4 separate regions of the Mus musculus genome follow, and regions 1, 2 and 3 are each reported to be linked to region 4. The links are microRNA targets in miRTarBase. Many come from high-throughput screens and were not tested one by one. Region 4 holds a microRNA gene; each other region holds the end of a gene's coding sequence.

Region 1 (8,119 bases), not on the chromosome of region 4:
ATCTTCATCTGAAGGCTGTTAGTGGAAGACTGACTTCCAGGCAGCTCCAGTGAGGGTCTTAAGCCCATGCCCAGAGTAATACACCTACTCCAACCAGGTCACACCTACTCCAACAAGGCCACACTTCCAAATAGTGCCACTCCCTGGGGCAAGAATATAGAAACCATCACACATAAATGATCAAATAAAAATGTTAAGTATATAACTCTCTCTCTCTTTCTTCTCTCTGAATGTATACACTCTTTCTCATCTACCTCCCTTCTTTCTCCCTTGCCACGGCAACTTCCCTGTCCTCATTCTTGGGACCAGTAAACCCACATCCCAATAAACCTGCCTTTATATACTCTAAAAAAAAGTATATAATTTTCATCATAACCTCTGAAAGCTTTATGACTCCAAAAGAGTTAAAACAAACAAACAGACATGTACACAACATATTTCCTAGTATACAATCTGTATTAGTTAGGGTTCTCTAGAGTCACAGAACTTATGGATAGTCTCTACATAGTAAAGGAATTTATTGATGACTTACAGTCTGCAGTCCAATTCCCAACAATGGTTCAGAAGTAGCTATGAATGGAAGTCCAAGGATCTAGCAGTTACTCAGTCCCACACGGCAAGCAGGTGAGGGAGCAAGCTAGACTCCCTTCTTCCAATGTCCTTATATTGTCTCCAGCAGAAGGTGTAGCCTGGATTAAAGGTGTGTTTTACCACACCTTTAATCCCAGAGGACCTTGAACTCAGAGATTTAATCTTCTGGAATCCATAGCCACTATGCCTCAAGATCTCCATACCAAGATCTAGATCAGAAACTTCTATCTCCAAGCCTCCAGATAAGGGTCGATGGTAAGCCTTCTAATTCTGGATTGTGGTTCATTCCAAATATAGTCAAGTTGACAACCAGGAATAGCCACTACAATCCACCCCTTGTCAACTTGACACAAATAATATCTCATGTTCACATGAAACAATAACAAGGTTGTGAATACACCTAACATGATATAACTATCCTCGTACAATCGCAAACACATTTGTAAATTTACAATGTCCTTTGGGAACATCCTTTTAGTGTCTCAACTTAAATACAAATTGATGTTAAAGAAATTGGAAGAAAGACAAATATATTCGTTAGCAAAATAAGACGGACATTCATATTACTTTATAATCCTCGTTTCTGCAACTGGTTACATGGCCTTAATTGGTATTTATAACTACCTTCCTCTACTACCCATTCTGTATTTCCTTCACCTTCAGCCAGCACCTCAGCAGGTCTTGGCTCTTTTCCTGGAGGATTGACCATACCTTCATTCCTGATGGGTCTGCATCCTTTGTCATCCTGCTTGGATTAGGCTGTTGTAGTTTCCCATTGACTTTAATCACAGGACATGGTAGTACTAAGAGACACCCTAAGAGATCTCCTACATTCCAGACATAATCTTGCTTACCTCCATTGTGAAGAGGTAATCCAATTTCCCCATGGTAATCTGGATCTATCACCTCTCCTAACACTGTTATTCCTTTTTTAGCCTGTTGGTTTAAGGGCATTAGAAGCCCAAAATGACCAGGGGGAAGTCTGAGCTTCCAGTTCAATGGAATGTTTGTTGTAGCTCCTGGTAGGAGCACTCCCCTCTCTGGAGCCAAAACTTTTAGGCCTGCAGAGCCTAGAGTTATGGGGACAGGAAGCAAAAATTTTCCCAGAGGGTCACTAGGAGTGATAGTAAGTGGAACTATTCCATTTTCCACCCCTTGATTCCTGGACCCATGGATCCTGGCTATGGGGGAAACTGCACCATATATCGAACACTGATTCAAAGCATATACTGCCTTCTGAAGAACTCTGCCCCAGCCTTTCATGCTATTACCACCTAATTGGCACTGTACAGGCCATTCCATCTTTCCATCAGACCAAGGAAGCCAGTAAAGACCATCCCTCCATGGTCTCTGCATCAGCTCCTGCTTCCTGACCTGCTTGAGTTCCAGTCCTGACTTCCTTGGTGATGAACAGCAGTATGGAAGTGTAAGCTGAATAAACCCTTTCCATGCTTCTTGGTCATGATGTTTGTGCAGGAATAGAAACCCTGACTAAGACACAATCCTATCTAAATAACTCAAATCATTATGAGAAATAGCTGACAGGTTTGTTTGTTTTCTGGACTGAAAACGTAGCTCAGTGGAAGAACTAATAGATACAACTCCTAGTATTAGATTGGCGACAAATTTATTTTAAAATAGTGCATTCCTGGAACTTGAAGGCCACTATGAACTAGATGTTTGTGCCCCATTCACAAACTCCCCATGTGAAAGTTCTGTGAAGTGGAGTATTTAGAAAGTGATTAGGTTCTGACTGTGAAACCCTTCCTCCTTGACCAGGTGAACACTCAGAGCGCACCCCCAGAGCCTCATGTGGACAGTAGATCTGTTTGTCTGTGTCCTCAGTTTCCTGACCTCTAAGAGTGTAGGCCAGAAAGTGTTGTTCACAAACTCCTCAGTTATATCTTGTTTATAGCAAGCCAGGGAACTAAAATAGGCAATGACACAATGTTTATTAACATTCTGCTAACAATGTATAATGCAAAAACTCTAGGCCTAATCAATTAACATAAGAATCTAATATTTATTGTGATCTTTTACATACAGCAATGATCAAATAATGCTCAATAAGTTACACAGATATTTTTAAAATACTGTAAAACTGGATGAAAGAGAAGGAATGATACCATGAATGTATTACTGATACCTAAAAATAATCATCTTTTAAACACATTTCAATTGATGATTTCTGCATGAACAAAAACATTTTAATGCAGAAATCATTTCTCTAATACTGCAATGGATGCTAGCTGAAAGCTTGATTTTATCGCACATATTTGGTTTAGGTTTATATGACCAGATGTCATGCAGAAAAATAAGCTGAGTATAAAGTTCATGAAAGTAGGCAGGATGTTATTTTGTACTATAAAAATTTGATGTGCGGTGACATTTCACAGCTACATTTCACGAAGACATTTCATATCTTCAGGATATCTTATTCAAGTATTACATAAAAATCACTAATTAATCACACATGCAAGCTAAGAACTATGGTAAAATAGCTCTGTTGATATATGATCATCCCCTTGACCACCTACATAAGCAGTCTTCATATTATTTTTTAAAACATTAAACAACAAATCTTAAATACAGATGTATATTTGTTTATGTCACAAGCATTCACATAATTGGCACATCATCAGAATTTTATTATTTTAAATATGGGAAAGTCAGGGGAGAACTGGGGCTAGAGGTACCCTGTAAACCAGTTTCTAGATAAAAACTTCTCTCTTTTACCTTTCAAATTCACGGTGCCAAAGCACTGACTAGTTGTGCGGATCTGTAAACATTCTTGTTTGTTTGCACGGTTTCCTGAGGTAATCTGTTAGTACAGTGGCCTCACAATTTAAAATTTCTACAAATGTGCTTTGGAAAACTTCAAAGTAAGAACAAAAATTTAAGTGTAGATCTGGGTGATTTTTCTATATTACATAAGCTTGATAAGAAATTCCTAGATATCAAATCAAACCATTTTCCTACATTTTCAGGTGACAAGAAAAACACTCAAACTTTAGGTCATTAAAAAAAAATACATTCCAGAATCTCCTCAGAACTAGGTAATAAATGAACATTTTATTTGTACATCACTACTAGAATAATGTATAAAATCATATAGATTTTAGGGTGTTTTTTTTTTCCCCAAGGTTTTTCAGGCAAGGTTTCTCTGTGTTGTCTTGGCTTTCCTGGAACCTGCTCTGTGGACCAGGGTGTCCTTGAACTCAAATCCACCTGCCTCTGCCTCCCAAGTGCTGAATCTAAAGGCATGGGCCACCATCACTCAGCAGGTTTTTCTGTTTTAAAGGCTCATAAAATACTATCATATGCCCGGTATTGGAACCTGCTTAGATTGTACATGTCTTAATAGTATCTTTTCCAGGAGAGAGGGGGGAAAAAGGCTGACCGCTTGCATTTGTTTGGGGGTGTGGGTGCAACTGCTATGACAGGCTAGCTTGAACAAATAAATTATTTTTCTCATTCATTGCTCTGGTGCTAGACTCTTCCGTGTCAATAGATTAATAACACTGAATGTCTGATGAAACAGAAGACACTGGAAAGTTCTTTTTAGAGGACACAACTGGGCTCTACAGATAAAATATATTTCTTCACCTTCAATTAAAAAAATTCAAATACCATTGAAAATTTCTCCACAATCTTAAAATGTCTCCATTAGACAATCAGTTTCACCCAGCCACATATCAAGAGGCAACACTGGGGACTTTATGTTACACATGTTAAGAAGGTTCCATCCTGGCTAAAGGTCTGGACAGTTTACAGCCTCTCTCCCTCACATTTGCCCATAGAATCAAACACAGGCACTGATGACTAAGACATTGAACCTGTTCCCTTACATCTTGATTCAATACTATGTATCAGTGAGCCACTTCATTGATTATTGAAAATCTTGGTAGTAATATTTTTCATGCTAAGTTTTCACAGTTCAATCCTTTGAATGCTAGAAGAAACTATTCTGTGTTACTGCTTATTTAAGGGGAACAGAAGTGGCAAGTCTGTGTCCCATGAAAGTAGCCAAGCCCACCTGAATATTTTCTTTGTTTTGCTAGGGATGGAACCAGGCAAGTGCTTTGCCATTGAACTACAACCCTAACTATCCACCTGAAGTTTTAAATAAATGCTTATGAAGACAAAACTATGCTTAACATGTATTAATGTATAGAAGTAAAAAAGTATTATATATTCATTGTTGGTTATAAGAATATGATCTCTACCATTTATAAATATAATTTGGTGGTTTACAGTTCAAAGATATCCTTAAACTTTAAAGTATTCTATATTCCTATATAGACTATAACTTCTATTTACCAGTTTTATGTGTTGTAAATTATCTTTCAAAGACTGCAAATGATTAGTTTATGAAATGTTTCAATACCTTCAAATATTCAAAGCAATAAGCGAATCAATTCATTACTTGTAAACTCACACTACCAAAATTACAATGGCTCCTTTTTATACTACTGACTCACATAAAATATGAAAAATTAATTATGTTACATTAGGCACTAGTTCAGACTGTTCTAGAAACTTTTCCTATAGACTAACACACACACCACTGCAGAGCCCTGAGATGATTTAAAGTGGGGTGGTGCAAGGATGTATGATTTTCCTTTCATAGTTATAAACTCACATCAATGTTTACTAGAAAAATAACTAGCACATAAAAATGTGAAGTATGATTCAAAACAGCCAAGCTTAAAAAAGGCTTCAACAAAAAGTAAGCAAATTGTAGCATAAGATATATTGGATCCACTCAGGAAGGTTGTATTACATTAGGAAATAGTATACTAAAGATCCAATTTAGCATCATCTTTGAATGCATGTAAGGATGAGTCATATCATAGAGGGGGTTGCTTTACTATCAACTCTGTGTGTGTGTGTGTAGGGGCAATTTCCATGGACATGAAAATTAACATAAAACATGTTTTTACATTTAAAAATATAGATTTGAGCCAGGCAGTGGTGGCGCACGCCTTTAATGCCAGCACTTGGGAGGCAGAGGTAGGTGGATTTCTGAGTTCGAGGCCAGCCTGGTCTACAAAGTGATACAAAGTGAGTTCCAGGACAGCCAGGGCTACACAGAGAAACCCTGTCTCACAAAAGCAAAAAAAAAGAAAAAAAAAGAATATAGATTTGAAAGCATTAATTAACTTTTTGTTTAATATTTCAAGACAAGGTTTTATTGAATAGCCCTAGTTGGCCTCAAACAGAGATCTGTCTGCCTCTGCCTCCCAAGTGCTGGAATTAAAGGCATGCACAACTGCCTGTCAAATTAATTAATTTTTTTTTAAAGGATTCACCACATGTTGAAAGAGTTAAATAACGCTGGAAGGATGCACTATTCCTAAAGACTAAGAAGGCACATTACATATTATGGTTACGACTTCAGCATTAAAATAAAAATGAACTAAATAACAATGAACAGATATTATAATATTCTTTCATAAAAAAGAAGATAAGCTTGTGCACTCAGGGCTCTTGACTCTGGAACCACCTGCACATAGGTGTCGCTGACATGGACCCAGTGGCCTCCCAATTCACCATCAGGTTCTTTCAAACCTAGCAGAACAGAAAGTACAATTTTACAGTTAGTGTGTTTATGTCTTCTAAATTGTAAACACTGACACAGTTATTATGAGCTGTATTTAATTCTAAGATCTATAAGATCTAAGATTGATAACTACTTCCAGTTAATAAATTTTTAACTTAAAAATCTAGTGAAATATTAGCCTTATAATAATTAGTTTCCCAGAGAAATATTCATTTTCACCAAAAAAGAAGGTGGAGAAACTGGTGAGATGGTGCAGGGAGGAAAGGGGCTTGCTGTGCTAGCCTGGGCAGCAGCTCCATCCCCAGAGCCCACACAGAGGTGGAAGGAGAGAACTGAGTACATGAGATTGTTCTCTGACAGCCAAACATAGGCACACATACATACAACACACACACAAATAATAAATATATGTTAAAAGCTAATAACAGAGATGGACATGGTGGTACACACCTTTAATCCTAACATAAGGGAGGTAAAAGCAGGTAGTTTTTGTGATTTTTTGGCCAGCCTAATCTATATAGTAAGTTTCAAGTTAGACAGAGCTACATAGTGAGCTCCTATGTCAAAATAAAACAACAACCTAACAACACCACAACTAATAAAGGGGAGGTAAAAGAGATGGCTCATCAGTTAAGACCACATACTGTTCTTTTTTTTTTTTTTTTCCTGGCTCAACGATGGCTTTATTTAAATTAAAAATTTCTTTTTTTTTCTTTTTTTTTTTAATTAGGTATTTAGCTCGTTTACATTTTCAATGCTATCCCAAAGGTCCCCCATACCCACCCCCCCAATCCCCTACCCACCCACTCCCCCTTTTTGTCCCTGGCGTTCCCCTGTACTGGGGCATATAAAGTTTGCAAGTCCAATGGGCCTCTCTTTGCAGTGATGGCCGACTAGGCCATCTTTTGATACATATGCAGCTAGAGTCAAGAGCTCCCGGGTACTGGTTAGTTCATATTGTTGTTCCACCTATAGGGTTGCAGTTCCCTTTAGCTCCTTGGGTACTTTCTCTAGCTCCTCCATTAGGGGCCGTGTGACCCATCCAATAGCTGACTGTGAGCATCCACTTCTGTGTTTGCTAGGCACATACTGTTCTTGCAGATGATTAAGAGTTCAGTTCCCAGCACCTGCGAGCATCGCAGCCAGCGCTGCACCTCCAGCTCCAGGGATCAGATGCCCTCTTCTGGACTCTTTGCGCAAGTGCACTTTACACCCTCACATTCACGCAGACACCCATTGACAAAATCTAAACCCTTTGAAAAGAAAGGAATCCAGGGAATGGAGAAGCAAACTCAATGACCTACAGTAATAGCTAGCACGTTTCCAAGTCCCGCTCTCTGATAGCTGGTGTATCTTCAAAAGGGGAATGTGGCTGAGGATGTGGTTAGAAGCACTAGCCACACAAGCTTGATGATCTGAATTTGACTCCACAACCAGGGCAAAACCACTCATCTATCAGTGATATGTGTCAGTTATCCCAGCGTTCCTATGGGACGATGGGAGGCAGCAGCAAGAGAATAGCCCAGAAGTCCCCAGGCCTGACATACACAGCCCAGGGGCAAAATCAGGACAACAAGATGGAAGGCCAGAACAAACTGCTGGTATTTACTCGCAGACAGCCACATTATGCTGTGCACACCAGTACACAGACACAGACACAGACACAGACACATGCACACACATATTGTTTTTACAAAAACAAAATCAAAAAACAACAACAGCAAAGAACTACTGCGTCTCTGAAGTAACTTTAAAAAATTGTCAATTCATATTGCCTAAAAGGATATTACTTTGTGATGATTAAGATTCTTGAAGATTATCTAAGCAGACTTAAGATTAATAAAATGAATCCATTTGGAGCTCCTTTTCTAAAAAGTCAGAATAAATCTTTAGCTTTTAGGAGGAGATATCCTTAGGTGGCGTACCGGCTGCAGTCTTCCTCCCGGTGATGCACTCGGACAGCTT
Region 2 (8,119 bases), not on the chromosome of region 4:
ATAGAGTTCTACAACTCTCAGTGATGGAGTTCTACAACTCTCAGTGATGGAGTTCTACAACTCTCAGTGATAGAGTTCTACAACTCTCAGTGATGGAGTTCTACAACTCTCAGTGATAGAGTTCTACAACTCTCGGTGATGGAGTTCTACAACTCTCTCAGTGATGGAGTTCTACAACTCTCAGTGATGGAGTTCTACAACTCAGTGATGGAGTTCTACAACTCTCAGTGATGGAGGAGTTCTACAACAACTCTCAGTGATGGAGTTCTACAACTCTCAGTGATGGAGTTCTACAACTCAGTGATGGAGTTCTACAACTTAGTGATGGAGTTCTACAACTCAGTGATGGAGTTCTACAACTCAGTGATGGAGTTCTCCAACTCAGTGATGGAGTTCTACAACTCTCAGTGATGGAGTTCTACAACTCTCAGTGATGGAGTTCTACAACTCTCAGTGATGGAGTTCTACAACTCTCAGTGATAGAGTTCTACAACTCTCAGTGATGGAGTTCTACAACTCTCAGTGATAGAGTTCTACAACTCTCGGTGATGGAGTTCTACAACTCTCTCAGTGATGGAGTTCTACAACTCTCAGTGATGGAGTTCTACAACTCAGTGATGGAGTTCTACAACTCTCAGTGATGGAGGAGTTCTACAACAACTCTCAGTGATGGAGTTCTACAACTCTCAGTGATGGAGTTCTACAACTCAGTGATGGAGTTCTACAACTTAGTGATGGAGTTCTACAACTCAGTGATGGAGTTCTACAACTCAGTGATGGAGTTCTCCAACTCAGTGATGGAGTTCTACAACTCTCAGTGATGGAGTTCTACAACTCTCAGTGATGGAGTTCTACAACTCTCAGTGATGGAGTTCTACAACTCAGTGATGGAGTTCTACAACTCATCCATCACTGAGATAGTTGTAGAACTCCATCACTGAGAGTTGTAGAACTGCATCACTGAGAGTTGTAGAACTCCATCACTGAGTTGGAGAACTCCATCACTGAGTTGTAGAACTCCATCACTGAGTTGTAGAACTCCATCACTAAGTTGTAGAACTCCATCACTGAGTTGTAGAACTCCATCACTGAGAGTTGTAGAACTCCATCACTGAGAGTTGTTGTAGAACTCCTCCATCACTGAGAGTTGTAGAACTCCATCACTGAGTTGTAGAACTCCATCACTGAGAGTTGTAGAACTCCTCCATCACTGAGGTGTAGAACTCCATCACTGAGAGTTGTAGAACTCCATCACTGAGAGTTGTAGAACTCCATCACTGAGAGTTGTAGAACTCCATCACTGAGTTGTAGAACTCCATCACTGAGTTGTAGAACTTCATCACCAAGTTGTAGAACTCTATCACTGAGAGTTGTATAACTCCTCCATCACTGAGAGTTGTAGAACTCCATCACTGAGAGTTGTAGAACTCCATCACTGAGAGTTGTAGAACTCCATCACTGAGTTGTAGAACTCCATCACTGAGAGTTGTAGCACTCCATCACTGAGTTGTAGAACTTCATCACTGTGTTGTAGAACTTCATCACTGAGAATTGTACAACTCCATCACTGAGAGTTGTAGAACTCCATCACTGAGAGTTGTAGAACTCTATCACTGAGAGTTGTAGAACTCCTCCATCACTGAGAGTTGTAGAACTTCATCAATGAGTTGTAGAACTTCATCACTGAGTTGTAGAACTTCATCACCAAGTTGTAGAACTCCATCACCGAGTTGTAGAACTTCATCACCAAGTTGTAGAACTCTATCACTGAGAGTTGTATAACTCCTCCATCACTGAGAGTTGTAGAACTCCATCACTGAGAGTTGTAGAACTCCATCACTGAGAGTTGTAGAACTCCATCACTGAGTTGTAGAACTCCATCACTGAGAGTTGTAGCACTCCATCACTGAGTTGTAAAACTTCATCACTGAGTTGTAGAACTTCATCACTGAGAATTTTACAACTCCATCACTGAGAGTTGTAGAACTCCATCACTGAGTTGTAGAACTCCATCACTGAGAATTGTAGAACTCCATCACTGAGAGTTGTAGAACTCCATCACTGAGAGTTGTAGAACTCTCACTGAGAGTTGTAGAACTCTATCACTGAGAGTTGTAGAACTCCATCACTGAGAGTTGTAGAACTCTATCACTGAGAGTTGTAGAACTCCATCACTGAGAGTTGTAGAACTCCATCACTGAGAGTTGTAGAACTCTATCACTGAGAGTTGTAGAACTCCATCACTGAGTTGTAGAACTTCATCACTGAGAATTGTAGAACTCCATCACTGAGAGTTGTAGAACTCCATCACTGAGAGTTGTAGAACTCCATCGCTGACAGTTGTAGAGCTCCATCGCTGAGAGTTGTAGAACTCCATCGCTGAGAGTTGTAGAACCCCATCGCTGAGAGAGTTCTACAACTATCAGTGATAGAGTTCTACAACTCTCAGTGATGGAGTTCTACAACTCTCAGTGATAGAGTTCTACAACTCTCAGTGATAGAGTTATCCAACTCTCAGTGATGGAGTTCTACAACTCAGTGATGGAGGAGTTCTACAACTCTCAGTGAGAGTTCTACAACTCTCAGTGATGGAGTTCTACAACTCTCAGTGATAGAGTTCTACAACTCAGTGATGAAGTTCTACAACTCAGTGATGGAGTTCTACAACTTAGTGATGAAGTTCTACAACTCAGTGATAGAGTTCTACAACTCTCAGTGATGGAGTTCTACAACTCTCAGTGATGAAGTTCTACAACTCTCAGTGATGGAGTTCTACAACTCAGTGATGGAGTCCTACAACTCTCAGTGATGGAGTTCTACAACTCAGTGATGAAGTTCTACAAATCTCAGTGATGGAGTTCTACAACTCTCAGTGATAGAGTTCTACAACTCTCAGTGATAGAGTTCTACAACTCAGTGATGAAGTTCTACAACTCTCAGTGATGGAGTTCTACAACTCTCAGTGATGGAGTTCTACAACTTAGTGATGGAGTTCTACAACTCAGTGATGGAGTTCTACAACTCAGTGATGGAGTTCTCCAACTCAGTGATGGAGTTCTACAACTCTCAGTGATGGAGTTCTACAACTCTCAGTGATGGAGTTCTACAACTATCTCAGTGATGGATGAGTTCTACAACTCTCTGTGATGGAGCTCTACAACTCTCAGTGATGGAGTTCTACAACTCTCAGTGATGGAGTTCTACAACTCAGTGATGGAGTTCTACAACTCTCAGTGATAGAGTTCTACAACTCTCAGTGATGGAGTTCTACAACTCTCTCAGTGATGGAGTTCTACAACTTAGTGATGGAGTTCTACAACTCAGTGATGGAGTTCTACAACTCAGTGATGGAGTTCTCCAACTCAGTGATGGAGTTCTACAACTCTCAGTGATGGAGTTCTACAACTCTCAGTGATGGAGTTCTACAACTATCTCAGTGATGGATGAGTTCTACAACTCTCTGTGATGGAGCTCTACAACTCTCAGTGATGGAGTTCTACAACTCTCAGTGATGGAGTTCTACAACTCAGTGATGGAGTTCTACAACTCTCAGTGATAGAGTTCTACAACTCTCAGTGATGGAGTTCTACAACTCTCTCAGTGATGGAGTTCTACAACTCTCAGTGATGGAGTTCTACAACTCAGTGATGAAGTTCTACAAATCTCAGTGATTGAGTTCTACAACTCTCAGTGATAGAGTTCTACAACTCTCAGTGATAGAGTTCTACAACTCAGTGATGAAGTTCTACAACTCTCAGTGATGGAGTTCTACAACTCTCAGTGAGGGAGTTCTACAACTCTCAGTGATGGAGTCCTACAACTCTCAGTGATGAAGTTCTGCAAATCTCAGTGATGAAGTTCTACAACTCTCAGTGATGGAGTTCTACAACTCAGTGATGAAGTTCTACAAATCTCAGTGATTGAGTTCTACAACTCTCAGTGATAGAGTTCTACAACTCTCAGTGATAGAGTTCTACAACTCAGTGATGAAGTTCTACAACTCTCAGTGATGGAGTTCTACAACTCTCAGTGATGGAGTTCTACAACTCTCAGTGATGGAGTTCTACAACTCTCAGTGATGGAGTTCTACAACTCTCAGTGATGGAGTTCTACAACTCAGTGATGGAGGAGTTCTACAACTCTCAGTGATAGAGTTCTATAACTCTCAGTGATGGAGTCCTACAACTCTCAGTGATGAAGTTCTACAACTCAGTGATGAAGTTCTACAACTCTCAGTGATGGAGTTCTACAACTCAGTGATGAAGTTCTACAAATCTCAGTGATGGAGTTCTACAACTCTCAGTGATAGAGTTCTACAACTCTCAGTGATAGAGTTCTACAACTCAGTGATGAAGTTCTACAACTCTCAGTGATGGAGTTCTACAACTCTCAGTGATGGAGTTCTACAACTCTCTCAGCGATGGGGTTCTACAACTCTCAGTGATAGAGTTCTACAACTCTCAGTGATAGAGTTCTACAACTCAGTGATGAAGTTCTACAACTCTCAGTGATGGAGTTCTACAACTCTCAGTGATGGAGTTCTACAACTCTCAGTGATGGAGTTCTACAACTCTCAGTGATGGAGTTCTACAACTCTCAGTGATGGAGTTCTACAACTCAGTGATGGAGGAGTTCTACAACTCTCAGTGATAGAGTTCTATAACTCTCAGTGATGGAGTCCTACAACTCTCAGTGATGAAGTTCTACAACTCAGTGATGAAGTTCTACAACTCTCAGTGATGGAGTTCTACAACTCAGTGATGAAGTTCTACAAATCTCAGTGATGGAGTTCTACAACTCTCAGTGATAGAGTTCTACAACTCTCAGTGATAGAGTTCTACAACTCAGTGATGAAGTTCTACAACTCTCAGTGATGGAGTTCTACAACTCTCAGTGATGGAGTTCTACAACTCTCTCAGCGATGGGGTTCTACAACTCTCAGCGATGGGGTTCTACAGCTCTCAGCGATGGGGTTCTACAGCTCTCAGCGATGGGGTTCTACAACTCTCAGCGATGGGGTTCTACAACTCTCTCAGCGATGGGGTTCTACAACTCTCTCAGCGATGGGGTTCTACAACTCTCTCAGCGATGGGGTTCTACAACTCTCTCAGCGATGGGGTTCTACAACTCTCTCAGCGATGGGGTTCTACAACTCTCTCAGCGATGGGGTTCTACAACTCTCTCAGCGATGGGGTTCTACAACTCTCAGCGATGGAGTTCTACAACTCTCAGCGATGGAGCTCTACAACTGTCAGCGATGGAGCTCTACAACTCTCAGCGATGGAGTTCTACAACTCTCAGCGATGGAGCTCTACAACTCTCAGCGATGGAGTTCTACAACTCTCAGCGATGGAGTCCTACAACTCTCTCAGGGATGGAGCCCTACAACTCTCAGCGATGGAGCCCTACAACTCTCTCAGCGATGGAGCCCTACAACTCTCAGTGATGGAGCTCTACAACTCTCTCAGCGATGGAGTTCTACAACTCTCTCAGCGATGGAGTTCTACAACTCAGTGATGGCTTTCTTGCCTATATTGCTCAAGGCTTTAGGTTCAAGTACCATCACTGGGGGAGTGGGATGGGGAATTATTGCACACGTGTACACTTGTAGACACACACAGACAGACACACCCCCCGGGTGGGTGCAAACAGCACAAGTAGCCAGTCCCAAACACACACACACAACACACACAGACACACACCACACATCACACACACACATACCACACCACATGCACACACACATACAACACACACAGACACACACCACATACATACACACACACACACCATTTGCTCTAATGACAAGACATTATAAATCATCGAGAAGTATTTATTGAGCACCAGCTTTGGGGTCGGGTGTGAGGACTCGGGACAATGCAGGGTGCTGTCCCTTCTCGTGAGACGCTTACAATCTGAGTGGAGACAGGGAGGGAGCCACAATACATGTTCTTGGGGTGCGGGCTAAGGGTAGACAGTCCAGACCAGGATGTTACAGAAACAGGGATGTTTGGGGCTGGAGTCAGACCCACTAAGTGCTTTGACACCCACGGTATTCAACACTGAGAAAGGATCAGCCATTGCTCAGTGTCCTGTGAGCTCCCTTAGCCCCCAAGACACCATCTTGGCCTGGCTCCTTGTACAACTGCTACTAAGAAATGGGAGAAGTCACTGAGAACCCCAACTGGGGTCCCCATCCCAGATAAGCCCACCCCCACCACCACACACCATAGAATGCTCTGGGAGGCCTGTCTCACCACCAAGGACCCACCCTAGACCCACAATGCAGGGGGTTGCCACTGGAGCTGCCTAAGGTAAGACCAGGGAATCCCACTTAGTGTACCCTGCATATACATTCCCTTCCAGTCCACTGAGCTGTGGGGCAAGTGCCTAGATATGCCTCCTGCCGACCTGCAGAAGGGGAAGTATGGGGTGGGGGAAAAGAGCAGCAGATCACCAGATTAACCCTCCAAAATAGAGGGGCAGCTGGCAGAGACCCACAGGAGAGGTGGGCTCCCCAGGAGTGGCAAAGGGGATCCAGAGTGGGGACCATTCCTGTCTTCACAGGTCTGAGCAATGTCAAGAGTCGGGATATTACGGTTGAGTCCTAACTGCCATCCCTGTTCTAGGCTGTGACTGCTTCACTGTCATCCTAGCTGGCCTTAGAGGTGACAAGGAGACCCCAAAGTCCTACTCATTTTTCCAAAGTGCTATTCAGGTCTGAGGATCACCCCCAGGTAAGAAGTGGCAAGGAACCAGGCAGGGAATGGGGGGAGGGGGGTTGGGTGAAACGGATGCAGATGGGTTGATATCAGTAGGACTGTTCCTCCGGTATAGGAAACACAGAGCTTGGGTTGGGAGGGGCTTAAATAATAATAATCTACATAATAGAAATCCCCCACACTAAGGGCCCTACCGTCCTACTAATTTAGGTTTGTTTTGTTTTGGTTTTTTTTGTTTTGTTTTGTTCTTTTTTTAAATAACTTTAAGTTTGGAGACTGGGAGAGGGCAGGCAGCGTATATACAGGAGACGTTTAAATTAAAACACAAATAATAATTAAGACACACAGAGTGAGGGCTAAGGCCGAAGATGGGGAAGAGGCCTCCTGACCCACAGCAGAAGAGGGCGGGGCTCCCGTGGGCACTTCAGGGTTTTCTCTTGCAGAAGACCAATCTGCGCTTGGAGTGATAGAAATCTGTGGAGAGAGAACAGATGTCAGGCCAGATGCCAAGGGGAAGGACATCATTCCCCAGAGTCTAAGGGACATGTGGCTCATCGTGGGGAAAAGCCACAGCCACAGGGCACAACACCTCCTGGTCAGAGGGACAGGGCTCTAGAGAGGGTAGATCCCCCAACGCCCAGAGTTAGTTATAGGAAGTTGTCATTTCCGGTGCTGGGAATCAGGCCCTCAGCAAGAGTAAGTGCCCTCATCTGCTGAGCCATCTCTTCAGCCCGGCTCCCTTCTTAGAGCTCTACTGCCAATCACCACACTATCCTGGGCATTTCGGTCACTGCAGAGAAAAATGCCTGGATCATATGAACATCAACTGTTCCTCTGAGCCCCACGAGGTCCCACGCCTATGGAATGGCTTGGTGGTGGGGAAGGGCTGGAATGTTCTCTGTAAAGGCCATCCTCAAATGGTGGCCTCTCCTCTCCAGGCCTCTTGCAGGATCTTTCTCCTTCTCTGCTCCTGTCCTTACCTGTCAGGCTGGTCTGCCTCCGTTTTCGGCCCTGAGATGTTCCGGGCCCACCCGGGGAATCTTCAGGCCGCTCAGACACCAGAGTGCAAGACAGCGACAAGGCCACGTGGTCCTCCGGAGCTGGCCCCTGCAGCAGGGCAGAGGAAGTACTGGGCCTCTTGTCCCCTCCCAGGTCGTCACGGCTGCGGGACCCAGGGCTCAGGTAGACCTTGGGCAGCCCTAGGCTCCGAACGCGCTCCCAGACGAAGTTGCCCTCCAGCGGCGTCTCCGTGACGAAGTCAAAGTTCCACCGTTCTCGGGCCTCCTGGAGACAGCCCGCCATGAGCGCATCGCAATCACGGCGCAACTGCTCACTGTCCACGGGACCGAAGAGACAACGGCACACTTTGCTCCTGTGCGGAACAGGTCGGACATCAC
Region 3 (8,119 bases), not on the chromosome of region 4:
TGCAGGTAGAAACTGAAGCAGAGGCTATGGAATAATGCTGCTTCTGACTTGCTCTCCATGCCTTGATCAGCCTGCTTTCTTACACAACCTTACCTGCCTCACACACATACACAGCACACAGTAGCACAGCACCAAAGGGGGTACAGTCTTGAAAACAGTATAGATAATATTTCAAACCATCTGAATTTGAAGAGGTACAATGTTTGAAAATCATTTGAAGTGTGAACAAACTTTCCATAGCTGTGCCCAGCAGACCACTCTACATACGTTTTATCATTCAAATGACACCACGGAAACCTCCATGCAGTTTTGTGAGAAGACACTCCACCGTCACGATCCCATCAGACATGTTTGTAGCTATTACAGTCCTGGAACAAAGATGCCGTTTCTTTGCATGGTGATTAACTCACTTGCCTACTTCACCTACTACCCTTGGCTTGTATGTATACAAGTCCACAACTACAAGTTGACTCGATTCCTTGTGTTTTACTTGAGTTTTGGTAACTGTTCCTGAAAATCAGTGTTAGTAGGAATATTGGGAACAGTAAATAATTCGTCAGCAAATCCCTAGACTGCAAATTGATCCTTATACTGAGATTGCATGTAATTAGGGCTTCCTCCATGTCTATTACCCCTCTGTTCCTCCAGAAGTGAACAACATGGCCATCTAGAACCACAAACCAGTATCAACTGCATTTCTCTTCTTAATGAGAGAGAGAGAGAGAGAGAGAGAGAGAGAGAGAGAGAGAGAGAGAGAGAGAGAGAGAGAGAGTTTAGGACTGTGTGTTGCTGTCTGTGAGTTCAAGTGCACTCCTGCTGCTGTATGCATATGTGGGTCAGAAGACAACTGGGTGCTGGTTCTTACCTTCATCCTTCAGGCTGGCTGGCATGAGAGTCTCTATGTATTCCACTTACCACATGCTTTAAGAATGCTGGATTGGGTATCCACACAGGTCTTTTTGCATGCACCAGAGGCACTTTATTGAGCCACCACCCCAACCTCTCATTTAGCGCTTCTAGCAGCCTTCAAGCTGCCAGTTATTCGCATGTCTGTGTCCTAAAACCAACGTGAGTGTGTAAACCTGTTCTGACCACATCTTTATTTTCTTGCCCATCTCTTTGCTTATTTTTGCTTGTTCCAAAAAGCAAAAGTTATACCTGGGGGGGAGTTGTGTTTCATGCTTGAGTGGCTCTTTCTATACATAACCTTTATTCGTAAGCCTGTGGGGCTTCCCACTCAGCTTTACTGTAACCTAATCTCTGATAAGAAGACTGAGGATATCAAATGGAGAACTTTTTTCCCCCCATTGGAACTCTGCTGTGGGAAAGCATGTACAATGCCAAGTTCAAGTATTCCTGATTGGAATGAAATAGTATAAGACAGCCACATGAAGTTTGTAGAGTGGCAATGAGGACAACCAGACAGTTACTTCATTTCTAACATCCAGCCTGCAGGTCCAGTGCTGGTGGGATAAATAGGCAGCTTAAGGATTCCCTGAAGTGTGGGTCAGGAGTAACTTATTGGTTATAACCCTGAACTCCAAAAAGATCTAATGAGCAAAATAAAATTTCTTGTCTAGAACATTAGTGAATTAGTAGTTTCTAAGTAGTGTCTTAAGAGTTCAGTAGAGATTTTATAAGACCACATTCAAATTAGTTTAAGGCAAGAAGGAATCAAAATAATTCCATAAGACTGGTGGTGTAGCTCTGTGATAAAGAATGGGAAAGTCTGCACATGGTGATACTTACTTGCAATCTCAATTCAAAGGAAAGAGAGATGAGGACCATGGATTTGAGGACCAACAGACTGGCCTACTCCAAAACAAAAATAAAAGATCTGAAATAAAAAAGGAGCACTGTAGAAGGGCAGATATTTTTCTAGCATCATATACAAGACCTCAAGTTTGATCAACCACACCAAGTGGGGAGAAGGAAGAAAAAGAAAAATAACAGACAGCCAACAACATTTTTAAAGTGTGTGGGAGAAGGTATAGCTATGGAATCAAACAATAAAGACTTATGGATCCTAGGAAGATGTCTGGACTAGAGATTGGTGCAGGACTCAGGGTTCTCCATCAGGTTTGGCAAGGGGGCACAAGCTATGGTTTATATGGATGCACAGTGGCTATCCTGTGGAGTTATGTGCAAACATGTGCATCTCAAAAGAAACTCATCTTCAGTGCAGTGAGCTTGAAGGTAACCTCTTTCTGCTGCTCCCTTTCCTGTGCCATATCCTCCAGGCTTCTAGGGAGAGAGTTCAATTCTCTTCCTCTAGAATGTCCCAATTGCTGAGTCATCTAGGCCTAGTGACAGCTTATTTATCACACACAGTGTAATGACTGGAGAGGCATTCAGTAAGCTTGGCTAGGACTTGGGACACAATGCCAGCTGGCTTTTTCTGTCTCTTCAGCTAGACCTTTGTATATTCCAGGAAGGTTCCACCTTACCTCTTTAGTCCCTGTGCTGAAGGACACTTGACTACAGGTCCTCAAAGCTAGAAAAAGCAGACCACCCAACAACTTGCAGTTATGCTACTGGAAGTGCAGGGGGAAGTGGGCCAACTAATAGTCATGAAATTCACAAACCACAAGAATTTCATGAGAGTTTGTGTGCTGAACCAATTTTCTGGATGGCAATGTTATATAACTCAGTTGGCTATTCTTAGCTGCAGATCTCATTTGGTTGAAGAATGTCTGCATAAACAATCCTATCCTGTGGAAAAGTGTAGTATTAATAGGTAAAAACAGCAATATATGGGCAATCTGTTGTGTACCAATTCCCTTTGAAACAGGACATTTCATCCTGGAGGAATGCTAGGTAGGACTTGGGACACTCTAAAGAAAGACTTCTTCAGATTCAGGAAGTACCTTATAGCTATCAAGACTACCCTGAACCTTAGTGGAGTTGCAAGGCCCCTTGCTCCCCACTGTTGATATATGTAGCAAGGACTGAGGAGGAAACAGACTCTCCCACCTGGTGAGCTGTCAGCAAGTCACTCAGAGAGTCCCAGGGCTGCAGCTTTGATGAGTTGTCACGTGCATTAGAGTGTTCTTTCAGTTATGAAGCTTGTGTAAGTAAGCCCTCACTCATATTTCTGTAAGTAACGACACTAAACTCAGTCATAGCACTAATTTGTTCTGTTGTCAGTTCCTATCTGGAGTAAGCACACATTTATCCGTTGTTCTGTGTATGTGCATTAGTCTCTAACACAACATGGTAGCTTTACATTTATCCGTTGTTCTGTGTATGTGCATTAGTCTCTAACACAACATGGTAGCTTTGGCTATTGTCTACTCTGACCCCTTGAGACTATTCTACTTTACTCTGTAATAAATTCTATGTTCTATATTAACAAGAAAAGAAAGAAAGGGAAAGAAAGTATTGGAAATTAAACCCACCCTGCAGATAATTCAGTACAGGAGTAACTAACCTTCCTTGGTTCTTTCAAAACCTGGACTTATAAATGTTTTACTTACACGGAGTAAATTAGTAAGATAAAGCAAACTATGTATCTTTCATTTATGCCCTTGGAGCTTGACTAGATGTAAGGGAGCTAGCTCAAATTACTCATATGCTCAGAGTTCCAGTTTTGGGCTCTGAATGGTCTTAGCTGCAGTTGGTATCGCATGGTCCTCTCTAGAGTTTTATTAACGTGAATTCCTCCAGGTGAGTGCCCCAAGACAGAGTCAGCATGAAAGAGGGACCCCAGTGGAAGGTGAAGTCTACAATAACCTGAGTTTTTAGAACAATATGCTATAACTTATTCAGCATGCTCTTGGTCACATATATCTATGAGGGAGAGACTACACATATTCGGGTATTGACACCAAGGGTCAGCAGTCATTGGAGCAACTGTGGAAACTGATTTCTGCTCTGGTCCTGGTCCCGTTGTTCTGTGTATGTGCATATATGCTTAGTCTCCAGATGCGGTGTCCCATCTAGAGTATTGTGAGAAAAAAAAAAAAAGATGGGAGATGTAATAAACTTGTTGGTACCCAAAGTGTAGCAGTAGCTTATTGGGAAGTCTGGACATATGCACTGTCACAGAGCAGAGGAGCTGAGATTACATTGATCCATTTGATTTCCTTAGCTGGTCAGGCAGACATCTAATGGGAAACTTATTTTACTTCTATGTTTTAGTGGTTATTCAGTCAAAATTTGTTGTCTGAATCTGGCCTAAGAATAAATCTAATTTCTTCTTTAGAAAGGGCTAAATGATACAAAATGATGACTTAGTATCATGATAAAATGTTCTCAGTTTTATTGAAAGCAGATACCATTTCTTCACACAGGTGAGTTTTCTTCTTTCAAAAGCCTATTTCATTGTACTGTTTCATCAGAGTTAAGTTGGCTCAGTGAGACAGACAATCATGGATGGAGACGGACACAAAGTTAGCACCACAAATCTATACTGCAGATAACCACAACAGACTTTCCAGTGTTTACAAGCATTCTTACATACCCACACATTATTTACAGCTAATAAATAAATTGAAAGCTAAAGCATCATTGACATATGTATGCATGGATGTGTATATACTGTAATGAATTAGCAATAATGGGGATGCCGGTGACAAATTATACATATTTTTATTGTTAGAATTGACTCCAAACTTGATGAAATCGGTCACCTTTGTCCTATATTACATAGGCACAACCAGCTTTCTCCTAGCAAGGGCTAACATTCCAGCATATCTGGAACTACTTCTCTAACATATTCCAGTATATCCCTTGACTCTTTCCTTTCTGAATCACATTGAATGACGACTACACTTGTGGGGCTTTGCATGTGGGTTGGTGTTCAGATACCCACAAATTTCACAGTTTCTGCTCCCAGCTATAGCCTCTGAGATAGATCTTCTTTATCATTTTACATTAATGAATAATAAAAGCAATCTGAAAATGTGAGATCTCGTTCATAAATAATTCTTCATTATTGATTTTTGTTGTTGTTGTTGTTAAGGTAAAACAAAACAGCGGCAACAATCCTGGTACTTTCTATAGCTATTACAGTTGAGGGCTCTTCTCTTTGCACAGCAGTTTACAAGCATCCATATGCACATTTTCTAGTAATTTCAACTTTTATGTGATAAAAAAAAATGGTCCTGCTCTAAAACTTGTACTTTGCACAGTGCAGAATTTGAACTTGATCACATCTAAACTAGAAATTAATGTGATGTGTTAGAAGTGTGACAGAGGCATGGCGGAGATGAGTCTCAAATGAAATACAAAGTATTGGATATTGGGCATTTCAAATTGATGAAAACAAGTAAGAAAAATCTGATAATAAAATTACAGTTCTCAAGCTCCCAGGACACAGGAAGCTAAGGCAGGATGGTTGAGAGTTCAAGGCCAGCCTGAAATACATAGTTTAGTTCGAGGCCAGACTTGGTTACAGCATGGGACAATTGTGACTTTTTTCAAGAAAGCAAAAAAGAGAAGAAGTAAAATCAACCTAGGCATTTTTGTCTTTCAGCAAAATTTATGTGTCACCTCAATTACAAGCTCATTTTCTTTCTTTCTTTCTTTCTTTCTTTCTTTCTTTCTTTCTTTCTTTCTTTCTTTCTTTCTTTCTTTCTTTCTTTCTTTCTTTCTTTCTTTCTTTCTTTCTTTCTTTCTTTCCTTCCTTCCTTCCTTCCTTCCTTCCTTCCTTCCTTCCTTCCTTCCTTCCTTCCTTCCTTCCTTCCTTCTCCCTCCCTCCCTCCCTCCCTCCCTCCCTCCCTCCCTCCCTCCCTCCCTCCCTCCCTCCCTCCCTCCCTCTTCTTCTTCTCCTTCTTCTTCTTTTTTTTTTCCCAAGACAGGGTTTCTCTGTGTAGCTCTGGACGTCCTGGAACTCACTCTGTAAACCAGGCTGGCCTTGAACTCAGAAATCCTCCTGCCTCTGCCTGCCAAGTGCTGGGATTAAAGGTGAGTGCCACCATTGCCCAGCTTACAAGCTCCAGAGAACAATGTTAAAATATCTGACAAATATTTAAAAGATAGAAGGATTAAGTCATAAAAATTCAAGTCTATTAAGAATTACTCAGTCTAGGTTTTGTATCTCTGTTGACTTGTACTTTGTTGTGGTGGGACCAAGGGTCAGGACTTCATGAGCCATGTCTTCAACTGCTTTTGCCAAGTCACACGTTCCTGGTTACTTTTTTTTTTTTTTTTTTTTTGGTGGGGGGAATATATCCCAATGGTAAAAAAACTAGTTGCAAAGGCCAGGTGTTTCAATCACTAAAGAAATGGACCTGACTTATGCCACAAAAAATATTGTCTATATTAGACTTTGAGAAAACTTTGAAAAGGTCTCAATATAAAACCTCAGAGTTCTTACTAATTTTAGACCATGACCAAATGGGTCACATGATGGAGTCTTATATTGTTGGGAGCAAATGATTCCTTCTTAAGGGATACAAGACAGCATGTTTCTCCTGCCTGCTGTCTTCTAATGCTGGAAGACCTGCTATGGGCCATTAGATTCCTCACCCTGGGTTAGCCACCGTTTAATATTTGAGACTGTCTTCTGTTTAACTAACAAGATAGAGCTGGGATTAATACTCAGGAAAACCCACTTTCAAACACCCAAACAAGGGTATTATTTTTTTAAATTAAATTTACTTTGTTTTCTTCTGTCTTCAAAGAACTCAGATGCTTTCTTCTCTTGTTTGTTTGTCCAGTGTCTGAGGAAATACAGAAGAAAGGCTATTTAATCATCTGCTTTGTCTTCTACAAATCCATTCCCTCCCCAGCACTGTCAGGAGGAAGCAGTGACGTTCCGAACAGAGCTTGTGTGGTGCAGATTATAGATGTGGAAAAGCAGTAGTCTCCTGGGGCAGAAATAGAGAGGCCCCCATCTGAGCATCATCTTCAGAAGACCAGGTCATGTGATGACAAAAGTCACAAAGATTTCCTATGCTCTAAACATAATAGAAAGTCTGCTTCATTCTTTCTTTGTGGGCATTCTGAAGAGTTAACAGGGGACATTAGACTGAGAGTCTGTGAGTTAAAAACCCTTGAAGAGCACTGGCTGACTCATAATCCTAAATTTAAAATGCATTTCAAGTAATGGCTTCCTATGTATCTGTTGCTTAGAAACCCTATGAACACACCATAGACACATCATTGGACCTTCTCAGATGGACCTTCTCAGATGATTTCTTAGAAACAGGGCTATCTAAGTACTTCTTAAATAATTGAAGGTATTTTCTCAATTTTGGGGTTTTTACTTATTAAAGGGGCCTTTATTTTTATATTTAAATAGCTACTTAAAGTTGCAGATGGGCATGGGGGAAGGTAGGTGTATGTAAATGTGTTTGTGTGCATATCTAAATTTTTATACTGGAGTCCCCTATTTCAAAGAGGAGGTAAGTATGAAGTTTCCTTGGATCTATGATTTGGATTTCTCCCCTCAGTTAAGAGTCATTTGCCAGTTTAAAGCTGGCTAGCTCTTCTCCATGTCAAGTTCTCTTGGGCACTCACAGTGATGTTTGGGATCCATATGGCGCCTTCTTTTTATTCATTGCCATACCCCAGTGTTTGTGATGTGAGAACATACAAATGCCATGTATGTATAGTGACAAAGGTTATAAATACAACTGGTAATCACATGTCAAACGTTACTGATAAGACCTTACTGGTTTTACTTTGCTTCTGTCTGGTTTTCCTCATCTGTCCATAGTGAGCACATACAGGTTATATTTGGGTAGATATTTTAAATGACATGCTCATAGTAGGTCCTTAATATTCTTTTTCTGAAGAGGCTAACTTTATTTGGTACTTGTGCTTATAATAATCTAGAAAACAGGAGAAAGCAAAAACAAATGCTTTTTCTATGGCCCAGTGACTCTGTGACCAGCATCTGTTATTGTTTCTGTATCACTGCTTCTGTGGCACTATCTAGTATCTTCCTTTAATAGGTGTAACCTATTAGCACTTGGGGTCTGGCAGAGGAACAAGGGGGAGGGATAAAAACAGCGTATCCTGAGAGCTTGGTAGAGGAGATGGAAGGTCACATGCTTGGTCTCCACTTAGCATTGACGTGCTGGAAAGATTCTGCTGCCAGCTGCCATGGGGATTAGCCCCAGAGGTCACGTAGGACGGACAAGCCTGCAGTTGTTTTGAGATAGGATAACAG
Region 4 (8,119 bases):
ACACTTCAAACTGGGAATAAGGAGCTGAGCGTGGCTGGGAACCCAGCACTCCAGGCCAGCCAAGGCTGCTAAGAAACCCCGTCTCAAACAGGCAAACAAAAAATTGGGAGTGAGGGGCACTGTGCTTAAGTGCATTGGTTCTTGCAGAGGACCCTGCTCCCAGAACCCACTTAGTGGCTCACAACCACTTATAACTACAGATCCTAGGGATCCAATAACATCCTCTGACTTCCATTGGCACTGCATATAGGAGGATCAGGCATACATGTATGCAGAATACTGATATGAATAAAACAAAGGGCTGGTTAGAGGGCTCAGCAGGTGAAGCGTCTACCTTGATTACCTGAGTTCAGTCCTCATGACCCATGAGTAGGAGAGAACACATACAGAAAACTCATCTCTGTCTCGCTGACACATCATGGCATACAGTCAACAAAGAAAACCTAGGAGTATGGATCCCAGCTTCAGAGGAGGGTCCCAAGTTCAAGGACAGCCTGGGCAACTTAGTGAGATCCTATCTTAAAAGATGAGCTAGGAAGATGGCTCAGCAGGAAAGCACTCAAGTGTACACATGTACTAACCCTACAAGTATTTTAAAAATTTGCATTTGTTATGTTCCGGAATCCCAGGGCATGTACTTGTAAAGTCTGAGGCCAAGTTTGAGGTGAGTGCTCCATGAGCTGTCTCAACTACCATGCACTTAAGATTATGTTAATTATTCATATATATACATATATATATACACATATATATATACATATATATACATACACACATATATATATATGCATGCGGGAACCACAGGCAAGAAGGGGATGTCCTATCCCTGGGAGCTGGATTTAAACGGGTTGAATGGTTGTATGTAGACTGACCTGTGCAAGAGCAGAAGCATACGATCAAGCCTCAGTAAATATTTAAAAAGGAGTAGGGAGACTCCCTTTTCACCAGGCTAAAATGCAGCATACTGTACTGATAGTCCCATGTTTGTCCCCAGGCTGTTTGGGATGGACCTGAATAAAAAGACTCACAGGAGGATGGCAGCACTTCGAGTCACAAAACCGTACCTGGATATTGGGTGTTGAGCAGTAAGGAGAACCAGAATGAAGCCGACCAGGATATTTATTCCCTCTGCTTTGAAGCACTTGAGGTGGAACTTTTAAAGGCCAGCCTCTGGTATATGGTGAGGTGGAGACAAGATCACTCAAGGTCATCCTGTTACATGGGACCGTCTTAGGTCAGGAGGCCCAGTAAGTGCAGGTTGACAAAATTGTTCTGCTTGAGACCTAAACACTCAACCTTTGATGGAGCTCACTGGGTTTGATGTAGATTCCACGCAGATAATTTAGGACGGGGATTGGCTGGTTAGCAGGTTTGAAGATCAGTAAAGACCACAGAAAAGGAAAAATATCCAGAGTCCTAGACATTTCCATGGACCAAGACTGCCATCTACTGGCCAAGTCACAGCATAAAGACCCACAAGGTAATTTTTCAAAAATTGTACTCAAGGGCTGGAGTGGTTAAGTCAGAGGTCCTGAGTTCAATTCCCAGCAACTACATGGTGGCTTGCAATCATCTGTAATGGGATCCAATGCCTTCTTTGGGTGAATCTGAAGATAGCTACAGAACACTTATAAATCTTTAAAAAGAAAAATTGTACTCACACCTGAATTTTATACAGCAGGGGGAAAAAAAAGTGGGCTGGGGCTAAAGGTATAAGGCACCTTACAAATGAGGCCTCAAAACCCAAGATTTGCACACCTGGTATAGTTGACAGCCAATGCTCCCATCCTATCCTGGGTTATTAGATTTTGCCCAGCTGTGGTGGTGTTCGCATTGAATCTCAACACTCCAGAAAACTGAGCAAGGTGGCCAAGGATGCAGAAATCATGGCTGTGCATGACTCACGACCTGACACTAGTGAGGCCTGGCAGACATCATTCCCAGCAACCACGTGGTAGCTCCACCACTTATAATGGGATAACTCCGCCCACTTCCAGTACAGTACCCAGAGATCTACCTTTATTATATTAAATTCAAACGCTATCCAGAAGTCCCCTATATCCTCCCCCACACCCTGCTCCCCAACCCACTACTTTTTAAAACCTGGCACCACCCCATTTCAGGTTAGCTTGTAACCATCCAGACACTCCACTAAAAGGAACTGGCCATGATGTATAGAAATGGAAAAGACTCACAGTATATAAACAAATGTGGGCTTAAATGTGGCTATGCTTAAAGGCACCTTTAAGCTAGTACAGGGTAATTCTTCCTTAAAACCATTGGAGGGGTGGCATGCCTAAATCCCAAGAGGCAAACAGGGGTGTCTCCCAAAAGGTGCCCTATTACTGTTGAAAACACTTCCAGCTATGTGTTGGTTTAACTTTTGGGGATTTTTTCAGACAGGGTTTTTCTGTATAGCCCAGGATTACCTTTAGTCTCAACCCCAGTGATTAAAAGGGTGCTTGCATGCTTGCAAGCTTTTTTTATCCCTAGGAACCATGGCGGGTGTTTTAAAACAAAAACTGAGAAAGCAGCAAAATCAAGAGAACAAGACTTTATTATTCATGTTTGGAGGCTGAGGGCACTGGTTGCTCCCATAGCACCTTGGTTCATTCAATAGCACCCACATGTCCCAGTTCCAGGAAACCTTCATCTGGATTCAGATACACACTACACATGCATGAAAGCAGCCGACCTGTGAATGGTGCCCACAGGAGAGACTCAAAAGTAGTAGCACTTTCTATGTACAGTCCAGAAGTGTGCCCCACATTTGAGTCTCACCAAGATGAGCAAGCAAGGAGTCTCTGGTTGATTGAAGTTCCGATGCTTTCTCCACATGGCAACACACAAAAGGGAAGCACTTTCCACTTAAAAGCTTAGATAGGGCCTCCATTTTGAGTATGGCTATATGGAATTTCGCTAGATCCAAACATGCCTACAACTGAACTGAAGATTAAGGATTATTCAATGCCAAAAGGATAAATGCAGCTATATGTAATACAGTACCTGTCAAATCTGGGTCACTTCCCGTGAGGTTCCGTGCACCTCAGCTTTTACTTTTGCCCCATTACAGACTGAATCATACCCACAGATGACACCCAAATGATGCAACACTTAGGCCAACTGCAGTTTCTCAATCGGCAACACTACAAACTCTGCGGCACTTCTTACAAAGAACAAAATGTCACACAGTTTGAGTACCACAGATTGAAGCATTTCCACAGGGACCTGCTGTGGTAATAAACCTGAAACTTTATAGTCAGTTCTTAGCCAGACCAGCCAGCCAGGCAGGTTGAAGGCAAGTAAGTACCCCAGGCTAGGCAGGATTACATTCAACTCAACTGGAACACCTGAAAAACAAAGAGAATCCATGAAGATTATGCTTAGGGCACACAATGTAACACCTGTAATCCCAGCCCTCATGAGCCTGGGCTATTGTAAAGCCAAAAGGTATTATGGGTATTATCTACCCGGCTGTCCACCAAGCTTGTTTGTGCTAGGAGCCAGGTTAAAGTCAGCTACAGCCAGCAGGTCCTAAAAATTCAATCCAACCATATCAAGACTCACAACCATCAGTCCAACTACAGTAGTCAAGCAAGATATAGCAACTACAGTAGTCAAGCAAGATATATAGGATCTTTTAATCCCAGGTGGATGGAGCTGAGGCCAGGCTGGTCTACAAGTGAGTTAGCTCCAGGACAGCCAGGGCTACAGAGAAACCCTGTTTGGAGAAAAAGGAAAAAAATTGAAAGAGGACTTAATATGGCGGCCACGTGAGATTTAAAAGTAGGCCTTTCTTTACTCAGACCTGAGGCTTAGACTCACCACCCCTGGACCTGGAGTGCCTCCTTCCACCCTGCCCTGCTTCCTCCTCACCTCCAGCCTTGCAGCTCGAGTAGCCAGTGGCAACGAATTCACCTCCAGCACACATACCTGTTTCAAGCAGGTAAGCGATTCCAGGTTGCAGCTGCAGCCGGCTTTTCAGACGCCATGTACACACAGAGACAAACAAAATGGATGCACTTTCCCGCCAAGCCGCGGAGAGGGCCTCCACTTTGATCGACACTGTATGTTCCAACTTCCAAGACCTGAGGCTCAGCTCCTCCGAGCGAGGCCCATGTGGGATCCCGGCTCCTTTATGAACGCGGAAAGCCTTTAGTACCGCATGCGCCCAAGTGTTCGGACTCAAACCCACATGTGACACCCACCTGCCCAGAAATGCAACCCCAGTGAAAACATGACCCACTAAAACTTAATTCTTAGTTCTTAGCCGTTTTGAGTTCTCAACCGGTGACACTCAAAACCTGGCGGCACTTTTCTTCCGATGAAAATCCAAAAGAGCCCCCAGTTTGAGTATCACAGGCTGGAGGTCAAGCTTAAGAACAATCTACAATGCACCTGGACTCACGACTGCCTTACATCCATCCGCGTCTCGTGGCACCCAACTGAACCGCCCTCTTTAGGATAGGACCCATTAAACTCCAAGCCTAAACCCCCACACAGGTTGTCCGCTCCTGTAAACCGATGCGTCAGATGCAAAGCTATGATGTTTTCCCCATGCAGTGGCACACAAAGTGGAAGCACTTTCTCATTCAGGCTCAAGAGAGGGCCTCCACTTTGATGGCCGCTACATAGGTGTAACAGCTCCAAGCAGCGACAGGACGCACATGGAGCCCCCAGGTACCCTACAACGACCACCTCAGTTACCGTCTACTGGGCAGGATGCCCATCCCTAGCCTTTCGCTATACTCAGTCTCATTCCTTTCTTCGAATCCGTACTCACCACGCTGCAGTTAACCCGGAACACGTGGCACCAGGGCTGGTAAATGTGCCAGATAGCCGTTTTCTCAACCGGCGGGGCTTAAAACTAGGCGGCACTTTTTAAAGAAAAAAAAAAGTGCCCCCATAGTTTGAGTACCGCAAGATGAGGCGGTCCAGACGTTAAAACATTTACCAGGAGGAAAGAACGTGGAGAACTTAAAATTCACTCCAACCTGAAGGAAACCTGGATGAAATCAAGGAAGAGTTAGTACATCGGTCTAACTCAAGGTATAGTGAAACTCAAAATTTCTACAATGAAACCACGTAGTTAATGAAATGTACTGCATAGACTCCCTAGACCTGCCCTCAGTAACTCCTAGCTTTGGTTTCTGGTCCCCAAACTTCACTCGCGCCCAGACTACTCACTTTCCCCACATAGGCTCGTTCCTCCCTTGAAATTATGTAGACCAAGTCAGAAAAAAAAGCCCAACTCTTTTTCCACACACATTAGTTCTAAATGTCTTCTTTGGAGACCAGACCAACCTCAGATGGGCCTGCCTCTGCCTCGGGATTAGTAAACCCAGCCAAACCGTGGGGGCGAGCGAGGAAGGCTGAGTTCGCGGCTAGCCTGCCTTTTAAAAAAGGGGCTCTAGTTTTTAAAAAGTAGAATGAAGATGGCCGTGATGACCTTTAATCTGGAGGCAGAGAGGCAGGCAGAAATGAGAGTTAAAGGCCAGCCTGGCTAGTCATCTCCAAAGTTGAAGCAGGAAGATCTCTCTTCTGGAAATCCTGGATCTACTTTCGCCTCTCTAAACCAGGTAGATTAAAACCACAGAACTGAAGGAAATAAAAAATCTGAAACTAAAAATATTACCTTTGCCTATGTGAGAAGCAGCACGCCGGAGGTATCCCTGAAGACCGCAGAGACCAGCATTCCCGATGTGGAGTAGAAGTCTCTGAGAGGCGTGGGGGAGGCTCTAGGTTCTTATATAGTCTGAAGGCTCATTGGCCCCCTGGACTGGGAGGCTCTGATACCCCTCCCCCACCCCGGAGAATCCTTACTCTACCACCCTGCTTCCTCTGAGCTGAGTTTCCCTGCGGCAGAGTGACCTTCACTGGTTTCTTCTCCCCCCCACCCCCCAGAGGAAACAGATTTCTTTGTTTGTTTCTAGAAGCAGCGCCTTTAATCCTATAGTTTTCTAGGCCGAGGCTGGAGGATCTTTGTTAGTTCAAGGCCAGCTTGGTCTACTATGGTGACTAGGCACGGGACTAGGCAGGGCTACATTCAGTATTAAGATAATAATAAAAATAAATAAAGGAAGAATGTGGGAGGTTCAGTTTATTCTTTCGTTTGAATTTTTTTTAAATCCAGAGTTTCAAATCCTCCCTCTTTTTTACCTTTCTTTCTTTCTTTCTTTCTTTCTTTCTTTCTTTCTTTCTTTCTTTCTTTCTTTCTTTCTTTCTTTCTTTCTTTCTTTCTTTCTTTCCCACACTGAATATGAAGGTCCAAGAACAATATGATAGAGTTAGTTTTCTCCTATGCTTAAATATGTTTTTTTTGGGGGGGAGGGGGTTCAAGACAGGGTTTCTCTGTGTAGCCCTGGCTGTCCTGGAACTCACTCTGTAGACCAGGCTGGCCTTGAACTCAGAAATCCGCCTGCCTCTGCCTCCCAAATGCTGGGATTAAAGGCGTGTGCCACCATGCCCGGCTGTTTTTCTTTTGTTATTATTATTGTTGTTGTTATTATTATTTATTAAATATCTTTAAATAGCTCCATGGATTGAAATTAGGTCTCCAGGCGGCAGGGCTAAAGCTACAGAGGCATATTGCAGACTTGGAGTTTAGGGTTTGTTTGTTTGTTTGTTTGTTTTTTGGAGACAAGGCTCAAGTACGCCAAGCTGGCCATAAGCTCATTAAATAGCCAAGAATAATTTAGGACTCCTAAGTCTACACCTTGTGTGTGTGTGTGTGTGTGTGTGTGTGTGTGTGTGTGTGTGTAATGGAACATTTTTAAAAAATTAATTTAATTTTTAAAAATGTATTCACCCTACATCCTACTCACTGCCCCCCTCCAGGTCACCTCCTTCTACAATCCTTCCCCCAACCCCAGTCTTCTCCTCTGAGTCGCCCCCCCCCCCCCAGCACTTCCAGTCTGTGGGGCTAGGTGCTTCCTCTCCCACTGAGGCCAGACAAAGCAGCCCAGTTTGACCATCATAACTCCGGGACAGGCAACTGCTTTTGGGATAGCCTCTGCTCCAGCTGTTTAGGACTCACATGAAGGTCAAGCTACACCTCGGCTACATGTGAGCAAAGAGGCCTAGGTCCAGCCCATGTGTGTTCTTTGGTTAGTGGGGACTCATAAGTCTTTGTCTCCAATCTTCCAAGGGCTGGAATAGGCATATACCAGTATGCCCAGTTCAGTCATTAATTCCAGGCATATTTAATATACTTTAGATGTCTTGTTAATTGAACAAACAAGCCTCACCAGCAATTTGCTAGGTCTTAGGCTTGGGGAAGCAGATAGAGATATGGGTTTGGTCAAGTATAATGGCACATTCTTTTAATTCCAGCAATGGGTAGGCCAAGCAGCTACAAGTGAAACTGTGCCTCAAACAGCAGCAACAAGAAGGATAATTCTTTCTTTCTTTCTTTCTTTCTTTCTTTCTTTCTTTCTTTCTTTCTTTCTTTCTTTCTCTCTCTCTCTCTTTCTCTCTCTCTCTCTCTTCCTTCCTTCCTTCCTTCCTTCCTTTCTTTCTTTCTTTCTCTCTCTCTTCCTTCCTTTCTTTCTTTCTTCCTTTCTCTCTCTCTCTCTCTCTCTCTCTCTCTCTCTCTCTCTCTCTCTCTCTCTCTTTCTCTCTTTCTTTCTTTCTTTCTGACTGGATCTTTCTAGGCTAGGATGCCAGGAGCCTAGCCTGGGATGAGCTACTGATTTAGCTTCTCTTCAACTTTCCCAAGATGGCCTTGGCAACTCTGTTCCCTGTTCATACTGTGTTGAACATAACCAAGCAAAGTGCCCCACTAACTTAACCCTAAGAATTTTATTTATTATTTATTTATTTATTTATTTATTTATTCACTCACTCACTTCCTTACTTGCTTATTTCTTGTGACAGGATCTTGCTAGGCAAGAGAGGCCTGGAACTCACTATATAGACCAGGCTGGCCTCCAAGTCACAGAAATCCACGCATCTCTCTCTGCTTTCTCGAGTATGGGCTTGTACCAAGCTGGCCCACAGTGAGCGTTTTAAAATTATGTTTTGTTGGACATGGTGGCACACGCCTTTAATCCCAGCACTCAGGAGGCAGAGGCAGGCGGATTTGAGTTCCAGGACAGCCAGGGCTATACAGAGAAACCCT

What was found. The annotated mature microRNA mmu-miR-295-3p reads AAAGUGCUACUACUUUUGAGUCU and lies in region 4 at 2,718-2,740, opposite strand. An mRNA with a match to its seed (bases 2 to 7 or 8) in the 3' UTR can be bound and repressed. Matches are read on the target gene's strand: a 7mer-m8 pairs with bases 2 to 8, a 7mer-A1 pairs with bases 2 to 7 and ends in A, and an 8mer does both.
Region 1: the mRNA of Usp45 is a reported target of mmu-miR-295-3p. Seed matches in the 3' UTR shown: 7mer-m8 at 5,837-5,843, 7mer-m8 at 4,667-4,673 and 7mer-m8 at 3,835-3,841.
Region 2: the mRNA of Cdkn1a is a reported target of mmu-miR-295-3p. Seed matches in the 3' UTR shown: 7mer-m8 at 6,706-6,712 and 8mer at 6,033-6,040.
Region 3: the mRNA of Lpl is a reported target of mmu-miR-295-3p. Seed matches in the 3' UTR shown: 7mer-m8 at 5,891-5,897.

The regions. Positions count from the first base shown.
Region 1 is chr4:21,832,278-21,840,396 of GRCm38, reverse strand. Usp45 (ubiquitin specific petidase 45) reads right to left here. Exons shown (of 18, transcript NM_152825.2): 17 at 8,080-8,119; 18 at 2,525-6,162. The coding sequence ends at 6,032. Among named protein-coding and RNA genes, the nearest start is that of Pnisr, 12 kb to the left of the region's middle.
Region 2 is chr17:29,098,421-29,106,539 of GRCm38, reverse strand. Cdkn1a (cyclin-dependent kinase inhibitor 1A (P21)) reads right to left here. Exons shown (of 3, transcript NM_007669.5): 2 at 7,703-8,119; 3 at 5,818-7,196. The coding sequence ends at 7,147. Among named protein-coding and RNA genes, the nearest start is that of Cdkn1a, 8.7 kb to the right of the region's middle.
Region 3 is chr8:68,903,052-68,911,170 of GRCm38, reverse strand. Lpl (lipoprotein lipase) reads right to left here. Exons shown (of 10, transcript NM_008509.2): 10 at 4,239-6,665. The coding sequence ends at 6,665. Among named protein-coding and RNA genes, the nearest start is that of Lpl, 27 kb to the right of the region's middle.
Region 4 is chr7:3,215,436-3,223,554 of GRCm38, reverse strand. It overlaps Mir295 (microRNA 295), which reads right to left and starts at 2,782; the gene lies at 2,714-2,782. Nlrp12 (NLR family, pyrin domain containing 12) reads left to right here. Exons shown (of 10, transcript NM_001033431.1): 10 at 995-2,045. The coding sequence ends at 1,082. It overlaps Mir290a (microRNA 290a), which reads right to left and starts at 4,929; the gene lies at 4,847-4,929. Mir290b (microRNA 290b) reads left to right here and starts at 4,860; the gene lies at 4,860-4,917. It also overlaps D7Ertd143e, Mir291a, Mir292, Mir292b, Mir291b and Mir293, and 1 more gene. RefSeq lists a cis regulatory region at 7,953-8,119.